Linked DNA regions of Macaca fascicularis. The protein of the gene in region 3 interacts with the protein of the main gene of each other region in a pairwise test. Links are inferred from orthologs where the notes say so. Each region holds a gene or a part of one and is shown on either strand. Other genes may lie near its edges. The genes, in order: keratin, type I cuticular Ha8; CCDC24; USHBP1.

Evidence for each region.
Region 1: the proteins of USHBP1 (region 3) and keratin, type I cuticular Ha8 interact in binary tests that used the Homo sapiens proteins (3 or more experiments, as listed by UniProt). The two-hybrid records come from large-scale screens. The link is inferred for Macaca fascicularis from reciprocal best matches to the Homo sapiens genes USHBP1 and KRT38.
Region 2: the proteins of USHBP1 (region 3) and CCDC24 interact in binary tests that used the Homo sapiens proteins (3 or more experiments, as listed by UniProt). The two-hybrid records come from large-scale screens. The link is inferred for Macaca fascicularis from reciprocal best matches to the Homo sapiens genes USHBP1 and CCDC24.

What each region holds. Positions count from the first base shown.
Region 1 is NC_088390.1:62,484,278-62,486,664, forward strand, and holds the end of keratin, type I cuticular Ha8, read right to left. Parts: coding exon 2,302-2,387; intron 2,021-2,301; coding exon 1,903-2,020; 3' UTR 646-1,902; downstream 1-645.
Region 2 is NC_088375.1:190,767,849-190,771,599, forward strand, and holds the start of CCDC24 (coiled-coil domain-containing protein 24), read right to left. Parts: upstream 2,191-3,751; 5' UTR 2,085-2,190; coding exon 1,959-2,084; coding exon of another isoform or gene 1,944-1,958; intron 1,809-1,943; exon of another isoform or gene 1,750-1,808; coding exon 1,535-1,749; intron 1,439-1,534; coding exon 1,322-1,438; intron 81-1,321; coding exon 3-80; intron 1-2.
Region 3 is NC_088393.1:17,579,784-17,583,434, forward strand, and holds part of USHBP1 (harmonin-binding protein USHBP1), read right to left. Parts: intron 1,807-3,651; coding exon 1,681-1,806; intron 1,516-1,680; coding exon 1,379-1,515; intron 1,213-1,378; coding exon 1,072-1,212; intron 177-1,071; coding exon 3-176; intron 1-2.

The DNA.
Region 1 (2,387 bases), on a different chromosome or scaffold from region 3:
TTCCCCCGGAGTCTCCAAATTGAAGTTCTGCAGGGATCATAATGGCCCTTGGAATTACTGAGTGCCTCACAAGACTCAGGTGTGTTCTCGCATCACTTTAACCCTGGTGAACCCAAAGGGGAAAAATGGAAACAACATCACCCATGAAAGTGGGTCCTCTCCCCTTGGATGGTCTCAATAGAAAGGAGTTGCTAAGAAGGTTCTGCCCCTCAAAGCAAAGTTTTCTCATTCTTTAGCCTAATGCAAATACTCAAATACAGTCTGCTCTGGGAAGCAAGTTATTATGTGCACCATTTTGTTTCTGATTAAATTTAGATGCTAGAGGAAATTCATTTACCTGCCTGTACGAAGAAGCCTGAGGTCACGGGTGGCCCTTAAACCTGGCCATGTGGGTCAGCCTCTGCACTCCTTAAACATTATACAATCAATACTGGCTCCAGGTGAGGTTTCTTTGTGTGCTTTCTCCTTTTCAAGGTATTTTTATTTCTGTTATCTTAGAATCCATGACAGATCTGAGATATAAGTATGAACAATAACATTATCCCTGTTTTACCGCAGGAGAAAAAAAATGCTGAGGCTTAGGTGTGTGAAGTGATGATTCGAAAACCCCACAACAAGTCAGAGATAAAGTCAGGACTAGACGTGTTTGTTCTTTCAACAGGTATTTATTAAGCATCTATTGTGTACCAAGCAGTGGGCTAGGCTCTGGGGATGCAGAAATGAACAATTGCTAATCTTGGGTAAGCATTTTGATTGGGAAAACAATAGATACAGAGGCAAGTTCAGCTGTTGGCGTTGCTAATGAGCAGGACAGAGTGCCAGGGCTGTGAGTCCTTTAGGCTGGTAACCAAACAGGAGCTCTCAGAGGAAAGAAACTTTCAGCTGACCTGAACATTTATAAGGGGGGGGAAGAGCACCCCAGAGGGAACGAAGAGCAGGGACAGGTCTCCAGGCATGTCCAAGGAACAGAAAGGCCAGTGTGGCTGAATCGTGGTAAGGAAGGTAGAGAGCATGAAGACAAGAGGTGGAAGCACGTCATACTTAGCAAATCTCTACCCGTAAATCAATAGGTTTCAATACTTCAGGAGAAAATACTAGAAAAAAATGAAGTCATTGTTCAGATTTTAGACCGGAAGAATTAGACAGGGACAGGGGTTATAGCCAGACAAGTCTTGAGAATCAGAATTTATAGAGACAAAAAAAGAAAAATTTCTGAATCTGAACGTTCCTTTCACATAGAAAGAAGCTACGGAAGCCATATGTAAGAGGCTGTGTTGCCACAGAAGGGGCAAGCCTGGTCCTTTGTCATAGCTAGAACCCCTGAAGTAGAAAGACTCAGAATTTGATACAAGGAAAGTTTCCACTTAATCAGCTTCCAAGGTAGGGAGGCAGGACGATAGAAGAAGGGAATTAGAAAAGACAGGGTCAGGTACAAATCTGGTTCTATTTCCCTCTCCCTGGGGCCATAATCCAGGCTGGCAATGTTAGAAACAACCCAAGAGATGTGGGAATCTCAGACAGTAAAGTCTGTTCTTCACTTCCGTTGTCATAAACTATAAAAAAATTCAAGTTAAAGTTGGTGTTCTTGAAGTGCAAGTGCAATTTTAAATCATGCCGTATTCCTACTCCAAATTGCTTTTCAACCTTATGCCTCTCCAATCCAGATATTCTGAGCCACCATGAGTGGCTGCAATCCAGCCACTGAGGGCATAGAGCTCACCTGGGAAAACCAAGAGCGGGAAAGGAAGGATTTTCATCAAGTTTCCACCATCCCTGGTATCTCCTAGCCTTTGGACAGGCCTATACATACAGGAAGTTAGAAGCCAAATGTTCTAGAGGTATAACAAGCATCTCTCTTTGGGTATCCCTCGCCTTAGCCAGCCCCTGCGGGTCCACAGGAATTCAGAATCGGCTTCCAGTGGTGCTGGCTCCACAGGTGGTGTAGGGGCCACAGCTTGAGCGAGGAGCACAGGGGGCGGTCACACAGGAGGGAGGCGTGGAGCATGGATTGCAGGGGAGTCTGCAGAGAGAACAAGGTGAGGGAAGTGAGAGGCAAGGAATGAATGGGGTCTCAGTGCCATGTGGGGGCATAAGGAAGGGGTCCCTACTGCAAAATAACAGTGGATGGACATTTCCCTTCACTCTGTCAACCACATGGAGTGTGCAGGACAGAGCAATGACTCACTGAAAAGGAGTGCACAGACAGCCTCATTCTATGTAGAGACAGCCCTTCTGCTGCCCTGAACACCTCATGAGAATTGGGTAAATGATTTGGCCAGGAACTGCCCAGATCACACGTACTTGCAGTCCTCGCTCTCCAGAAGGTTCCGATACGTGGCAATCTCATTCTCCAGCCGAGCCTTCACGTCCAGCAGCACCTGGTACTC
Region 2 (3,751 bases), on a different chromosome or scaffold from region 3:
ACCTCAGATGTCTGGCCACCTGGTCAATGTTGGACACGTTCAGTTGGTCCTTGATGATGCTGAGATCTCTGTGACCACTGCTGGCAATGAAGTCACTATTACTCTCCCCATGTTGCTCACCCCAGGCCTTCAGGACCCAAACATCACTTCTCCTAGACAACTGTCTTTCTTTTCTCACAAAAACAATATAATATAGTGCAAAGAGTAAGAGTTTGGGAGCCTAGTTTTGCAAATGAGCTCTGCCACCCTTCATTGTGTGTGACTTCAGACAAAGCACTTATCCCTTCTGAGCTTTAGTTTCTTTTCTTTTTGTTTTTTTGTTTTTTTGAGACAAGATTGTGCTCTGTTGCTCAGGCTGGAGTGCAGTAGCACCATCTTGGCTCACTGAAGCCTTGACATCCCAGGCTCAAGTGCTCTTCCCACATCAGCCTCCTGAGTAGCTGGGACTATAGGTGTGCACCACCACACCTGTTCAATTTTTTGCACAAACGGGGTCTCACTATGTTGCCCAGGCTTCTTCTTTTTTTTTTTTTTTTAGAGACAGGGTCTTTGTCACCCAGGTTGGAGTGCACAGGTGCAATCATAGCTCACTGAAGCCCCAAATTCCTGAGCTCAAGCCATTATCCCACCTCAGCCTCCCAAGTAGCTGGGAATCCAGGCATGTGCCACCACGCCTAATTTTTTTTTTCACTTTTTGTAAAGATGGGGTCTCCCTGTGTTGCCCAGGCTGATCTCAAACTCCTGGCCTCAAGCCATCCTCCTGCCTCAGCCTCCTAAAGTGCTGGGATTACAGGCATGAGCCACTATGCCCGGCCTTTAATTTCTTCTTGTGCAAAGTGCAGACTTTGCCCACCTCAGGCTGTGTGAGGATTAGAAAAAGAAGTTGCTGCCATTCACTTATGAATGTTTTATCTCATTCAGTCCCAGCTGTAAATACCATTTGTAGCCATCCTCTTTAGCTCTCCCTGCCTCCCTAACCCAGCCCTCACTCCTGTTCTCTAGGCCAGAGGAGCAATCGCCTGCTGGACTTTCTTCCCTTTTCCTACAAAGCTCTTCTCTCTTTCATCTCCCTGAAAACTGCTCCTCATACGACAACACGCAGATCAAACCACTTTCTCCAGGAAGCTTTGCCTGTCCCCAGGCTAGGCAGGTGTTTCCTCTGGGTTTCGGCAGCCCTCATGTGCTGATCTCTACCACAAGTGGTGGTGGAAGTGCCCAGCCCGTGACTGGAACCTCCTGCATGGAGCCAGGTGCAACCCACCAGTTGGCTAGGGCCCTCTGCCAAGCAGGGACAGATCCCTTTCTCCTACCATCACCTTACCTGGGCCTACCACCTCTCATCTGGAATATCTCCTGTTCTGGCAAATCACACCTGGGCTCCTCCAAGGCAAAGTGCAGGACCCTGGGGCTATACTGGACCCAAGCTTGGGCCTGGTCCCTGCAGAAGGTGCACAGGAAGGAAGATGAGAGGCTCCTTTCTGGAAACCACAGAAAAGGCAACCCTGGCTCTTTGTTAGGGGCAGGGCTAGCCCACCTGGTATCTGGGGAAAGGACCCAGGCCTGAGGCTCCCACCTGCCCTCACAGATGGCTTTGTGGTGGAGACCCTGGAGCAACTGCCGGAGTTCCTGGCGCAAGAGGTCCTTTAGGAGAGGCGGTGGTGCCAGAAGAGAAGAGGGGTCAGAGATGGGGCGGGAGCTGGGGGCTTGAGAGGATCGAGCCTCTTGGAGCAGTGCCCGTAACATCGCCACCTGCAAGGAGAGCTGGGATACCTTGCGACTGGGGAGGGGAGTGACCGGAATGGTGGGGGCTGGGGGAGTGAGGGAGAGGACAGAGTCAAAGGGGAGAGGGCCAGGACAGTGAGACCCAATAGGATCTCGGGAGTTCCCCGGCAGGGCCAGGGACCCGCAGGAGGTGGGAAATCACACCCAGGGGCGTGGCCCACCTTCCCTCTCCCCACCTCCGCCCGCAGCTCCAGGCTCAGGTCCACCGCCGCCTCCCCCAGAATCCTCTTCACTTCGGGTCGCTCCCGGAGCGGAATGTGCTCCTCCACCAGCTCCCACAGCGAGGGGGAGTGACGAAGCATGACCCACCCGCGCCGCCGTCCCCAGCTCGGACCTACAAGCCGCAGGTCAGAGCGCGGGAGGTACCGCGGGCCCGCCGGCAACGCTCACCAAGCCCCGCCCCTCTATGAGGACCGCCCTCTTCCAAGCCCCACCCATGCTCTGCCGCCGGTCCCCTCAGCTGGGATTGCCCCGTCCAGAACCGCCATTCCTTGGCGCGCTCTTCTGCCAGGCTTTTGGTCAACTCGTATGCCGCGGGCCCAGAAGCCAGGCAGTGGGAACCAGCGCCCTAGCCCCACCTCTTCCGCGTGGCCATCACCCGGGAAACCGCGCCGCGACTCTAGGCCCCGCCCCCTCCCGTGTGTGGTCCGGCGGCGGCGCCTGCAGGCTGGGAGTTCAGACTTAGTGCTCCACCGAGCCCTGACCCCAGGCACTTTGGGCTCGGCCCTGGGCACCTTTAGGCCTCAGGGAACGTGTTAAGACCTGAGAAATCTGGGTCCACGGGTTTATTACTTCGTCGCCTCCACTGGCCCGGAAGCAGTGCAAGGACAAACTTCCCCTTAAGGCCAATAGAAGCCTAGGGAGTGACAGCGTTCCGAGAACCAGCATGGCCCGGATCAGGTTTACTTGTTGGGCCAAGTGCCCTTCCACCACAACACACTCAGGGTAACCATGTTCAGGGACCCGACCCCCACCCCCAGACAAGGGAGCTGCTCCATTCACGTTTTTTACTAAAGCACCCACACAAGTTTCTGTGCAATGTACAAACACGAGCCGGCCCTGGGGCTCCTGCCTCCTCTCTCAGACAGGGAGGCGGGCACCAGACTTACTGATCCAAGCCCCACCTGCCTCCCATGCAAAGGCCAACCCCAAGATCCCAGGCAGCGACACAGCATCCCCTCTGGTCCCCTCCTGGGGCAGCTCCTCAGCAGGGGGCGCACCAAAGCTTGCCCCCTACAATGTTGAATGAAAAAGGTTTCCCCTCCCCTGGGAGCAAGGGGGTTCCCAAGAGCTGAGAATTTCCCCCTGGAAGAGACACTGCCCCCTAGACATACCTCCCACCCTTCCAGGCCCTAGGGGACTCAAGGGGGGAAACTGAGGCACAGAGAGGTGGAGTGACCTAGCCCAGGCCACTCCGCGAGGCAGTGCAGGGGCTGGCCCGACCCTGACAGTGACTGGGGCTGGGCTAGGGGGAGGGGGTCAGGAAGGAGGGTTGACTCCAAAGAGGGCCACACTTGTGAAGAGCCTGCCCAGGCAGGAGGCCCCCAAAGTGGGTTCTGAAACTTCCAGGTATAGCTAGGGGGCCTATTGAAGACCCTCGGAAAACAAAGCCCACAGTCTCAGTCCTGGAGGTCCTCCACAGAGCAGCTGCCAGCCAGGCTGTGGTCAGTCCTCTGGCAGGCAATCCTCGGCACCGAGAGCCTCTGTCCATTAGTGTCAGCCCCGAGGGGGCCACGACGGGGGCCGCCCAATGTCCACTGTGATATTGGTGAAGAGTGGTTGCCGAGACACCTCCAAGACCTGGTACCGCACTGACCCAATGCCGTCCCGCTTCATGGTCAGCTTCGTGTTTTGAATCTTGGTAAACCTAGATAGGATGGAAATGGTCTGTATCAGGGCTAACAACTGTAAACTACAAATAAAATCCTACACCCCCCAATCAACTAAATGGACCCCCTTTTGGCCACGG
Region 3 (3,651 bases):
ACCTTGGCTGTGGATTCTGCCGTGCCCCTGCATCCATGGTGGCCTCCTCTTGTGCCAGCAGCCTCCATGCTTCCTCTTCAGCTGCTTGCAGGTCACTCGTGGGGGCTTCGTCTCCTGCTTCTGAATTGGCCTCCCGCAGAGCAAGAAGAACCCTGTATGCCTCTTCACAGTGCTCACTATGGGACACTGGTTCTGAGTGCTTCAGGACACTCAGCTTGGCTGGGTGCAATGGCCCTCACCTGTAGTCCTAGCACTTTGGGAGGCTGAGGCGGGAGGATTACCTGAGGTCAGGAGTTCGAGACCAGCCTGACCAACGTGGTGAAACCCCGTCTCTACTAAAAATACAAAGATTAGCAAGGTGTGGTGGTACGCACCTGTAGTTCCAGCTACTCAGGAGGCTGAGGCAGGAGAATCGCTTGAACCAGGGAGGTGGAGGTTGCAGTGAGCCAACAGGGCACCACTGCACTCCAGCCTGGGTGACAGAGCTAGACTCTGTCTCAAAAAAAAAGAAAGAGAGAAAAAAAAATGCTTAGCTACATCTCACTCTATAGGTGCCAGTCCCCACTTGCTCCTGAACTCCTCTTCTCCCCACTGTCCTCAACTCTGGAAGCATGTAGACTCCCTTACCAACCCTGAACTAAAATTGCCTTAAGTTAATTTCTGGGCCAGGCAAGGTGGCTCACACCTGTAATCCCAGCCCTTTGGGAGGCCGAGTCGAGCGGATCATGATGTCAGGAGTTCGAGACTAGCCTGGCCCATATGGTGAAACCCATCTCTACTAAAAATACAAAAATTAGCTGGGTATAGTGGCATACACCTGCAATCCCAGCTACTCAGGAGGCTGAGACATGAGTGTCATTTGAACCCAGGAGGCAGAGGTTGCAGTGAGCTGAGATCTCGCCACTGCATTCCAGCCTGGGTGACACAGCAAGACTCTGTCCCAAAAAAAAAAAAAAAATTAATTTCTGAAGTGGGGAAGGTGCTCTCCAGTGAGGGTTCTGTGGATTGGGGCCATCCTCAGAAAGCCCATTCCCTCCCCAGCTGGTGACATCACTGGCAGGGTGCACTGACCTGTACTGCAAGGCCAGATGCAATGCTGTGGCCTCAGCCTCCCGCTGGCCTAGCTGCATGCTGAGGCCCTCACAGTGGCCCTTGTATCCCTGGAGCACAGCCGATAGCAGACGGTTAAAGCATTTGAGCTTCTCAATGCTCCTGTCCCCGAAGGTGGGGAAGAGGGAAAGTCAGAGGCCTTCTAAGGCAGTCAGGCCTCAATTTCCACCCTTACCCTCCCTCCTGTTGCAGCTTCAGACTCCAGGCCTTCTAACTCAGCTGGAGGAGGTGCCTGTGCCCTTATGAGCTCAGCATTTGAGTCTCTTACCCTCGGAGTTGCTCCATCTGGGCTTCCATGATGTGCATCTCAGGACTGAGGGGCTGGGTGGGAAGAGACCCAAGGATCTGGGTGCTGGAATGGCTGCGGAGGCGCCGAAGCAGGGGGTGAGCCAGGGAGAAGGAGTCCTGCCAAGAACAGGTGATGTAATTGACCCCAATTGTCACCAAGAGCCTGGGATGGTAGGCATTTTGCAACCCCAGAAGCTGTTGGATCCCATGACAAAGATTTGAGTCTCATCCCCCTGAAGACTAAGGACATCAAGACCATGGGATTGAACTTCTCACACTCACCTGAGTCTCCCAGGGTTCCCTGTCTGCCTCAGAGCTGGTAGAACCACTGCCTGAGCCACCTGCTTGGCTGTGGGAAAGACGTGGGAAGGGCTCCAGCCTCAAGAGGGAATTCTGCAACTCCTGAACCTGGGAAGGATGAGGGGGAATGTCAGGCCTAGGGGCTGAAACCAACCACCAGCCTTCCCTCCCCAAGGCCTGTTCTTGGGGAAGTGGCAAGAACCCTAGCTGGAAGGCAGGAGGCTTGGATACTTAGCCTGCCAAAAATCTCACTATCTGACCTTGGGAATGTTTGCCAGCTGCTGAGGATTTTATTTTTCCCAGCAGAAAAATGGGCCCCACTGTGGAGGAAAATGAATCCCTGGACTGGGCTCCCATAGCCTCGAATTTTCCTACCAGCCTGAGATGAGGGTTTCCCTCTCAATACTTCATTCAGCCACATGACTTTTCTATTTTTATTTTTATTTTTGAGATGGAGTCTTGCTGTGTCACCCAGGATGGAATGCAGTGGCACAGTCTCAGCTCACTGCAACCTCTGCCTCCTGGGTTCAAGTGATTCTCCTGCCTCAGCCTCCTGAGTAGCTGGGATTATGGGCATCTGCCATCATGCCTGACAAATTTTTGTATTTTCAGTAGAGATGGGGTTTCACCATGTTGGCCAGGCTGGTCTCAAACTCCTGACCTCAGTTGATCACCTGCCTCAGCCTCCCTAAGTGCTGGGATTACAGGCATGAGCCACTGCACCCGGCAGCCACATGGCTTTAAATGCCACCTACATGCTAAGGATGCTCAAGTGTCTCCCTCCTGCCCTGCTGTCTCCCCTGAGCCCTGGACTCAGACATACAGCTGCTCCCTTGAGGACCCCACGTGGATGTCTCATGGGCACTGGAGCTTATCAAGGGCTAAAGAGATCTGGTCACCACCAGCCAAACCTGCCTACCCTGTAGCTCCTCCATCTCTCCCTTCTAGTGCTTCAGGTCCCAAAGCCTGAAGTTCTCTCTAGCCTTCATGCTCACACCTGTCAGTTCCATCTTCCACATCACCCAGAATCCGTCCACATCACCCAGAATCCGTCCACATCACCCAGAATCCGTCCGCATCTCTCCGCCTCCACAACCTCCACCATCCTGCGTGTCTGGACCAGTGAAGTCACCTCCTGGCTCTCCAAGAGTCCACCCTCACCCTCTCAGACGGTTCCTACCTCTGCCACCAGAGGGCGCCTCTGAACACCTGCGTCGAGCACGGCCTCCTCTGCTCAGAACCCTCCGGGGCTCTCACCTTAATCAGAGCAAAGCCCAAGTGAAGTGCCTCCTTGCAGCCCACGAGGCCCTGCGCCATCTGCATTTGTCCTCCCTCTGTTCTGGCTCCCCACACTCTCCCTGTTACGCCCTGTGTTCCAGCCACACTGGCGTCCTTCGGGTTCCTTGAACAGGCTAGTCATGCTGCCACCCCAGGGCCTGATCTCACCACCCTCAGTTTTCTTTCTTTTTCTTTTCTTTTCTTTTTTTTTTTTTTTTTTTTTTTTTTTTTTTTTTTTTTGAGAGTTTTCCTCTGTCGCTCAGGCTGGAGTGCAATGGCGGGATCTCGGCTCACTGCAACTTCCGCTTCCTGAGTTCAAGCAATTCTCCTGCCTCAGCCTCCCGAGTAGCTGGGACTGGGACTACCAGTGCATGCCAGCACGCCCGACTAAATTTTTTTGTATTTTTAGTAGAGATGGGGTTTCACCGTGTTAGCCAGCATGGTCTCGATCTGCTGACCTTGTGATCTGCCCACCTCGGCCTCCCAAAGTGTTGGGATTACAGGCGTGAGCCACCATGCCTGGCTTTTTTTTTTTTTTTTTTTTGAGACAGTCTCTCTCCGTCACCCAGGCTGGAGTGCAGTGGTGCGATCTCGGCTCACTGCAAGCTCTGCCTCCTAGGATCAGGCGATTCTTGTGCCTTAGCCTCCCTGGTAGCTGCAGAATTGTGTCAAGCA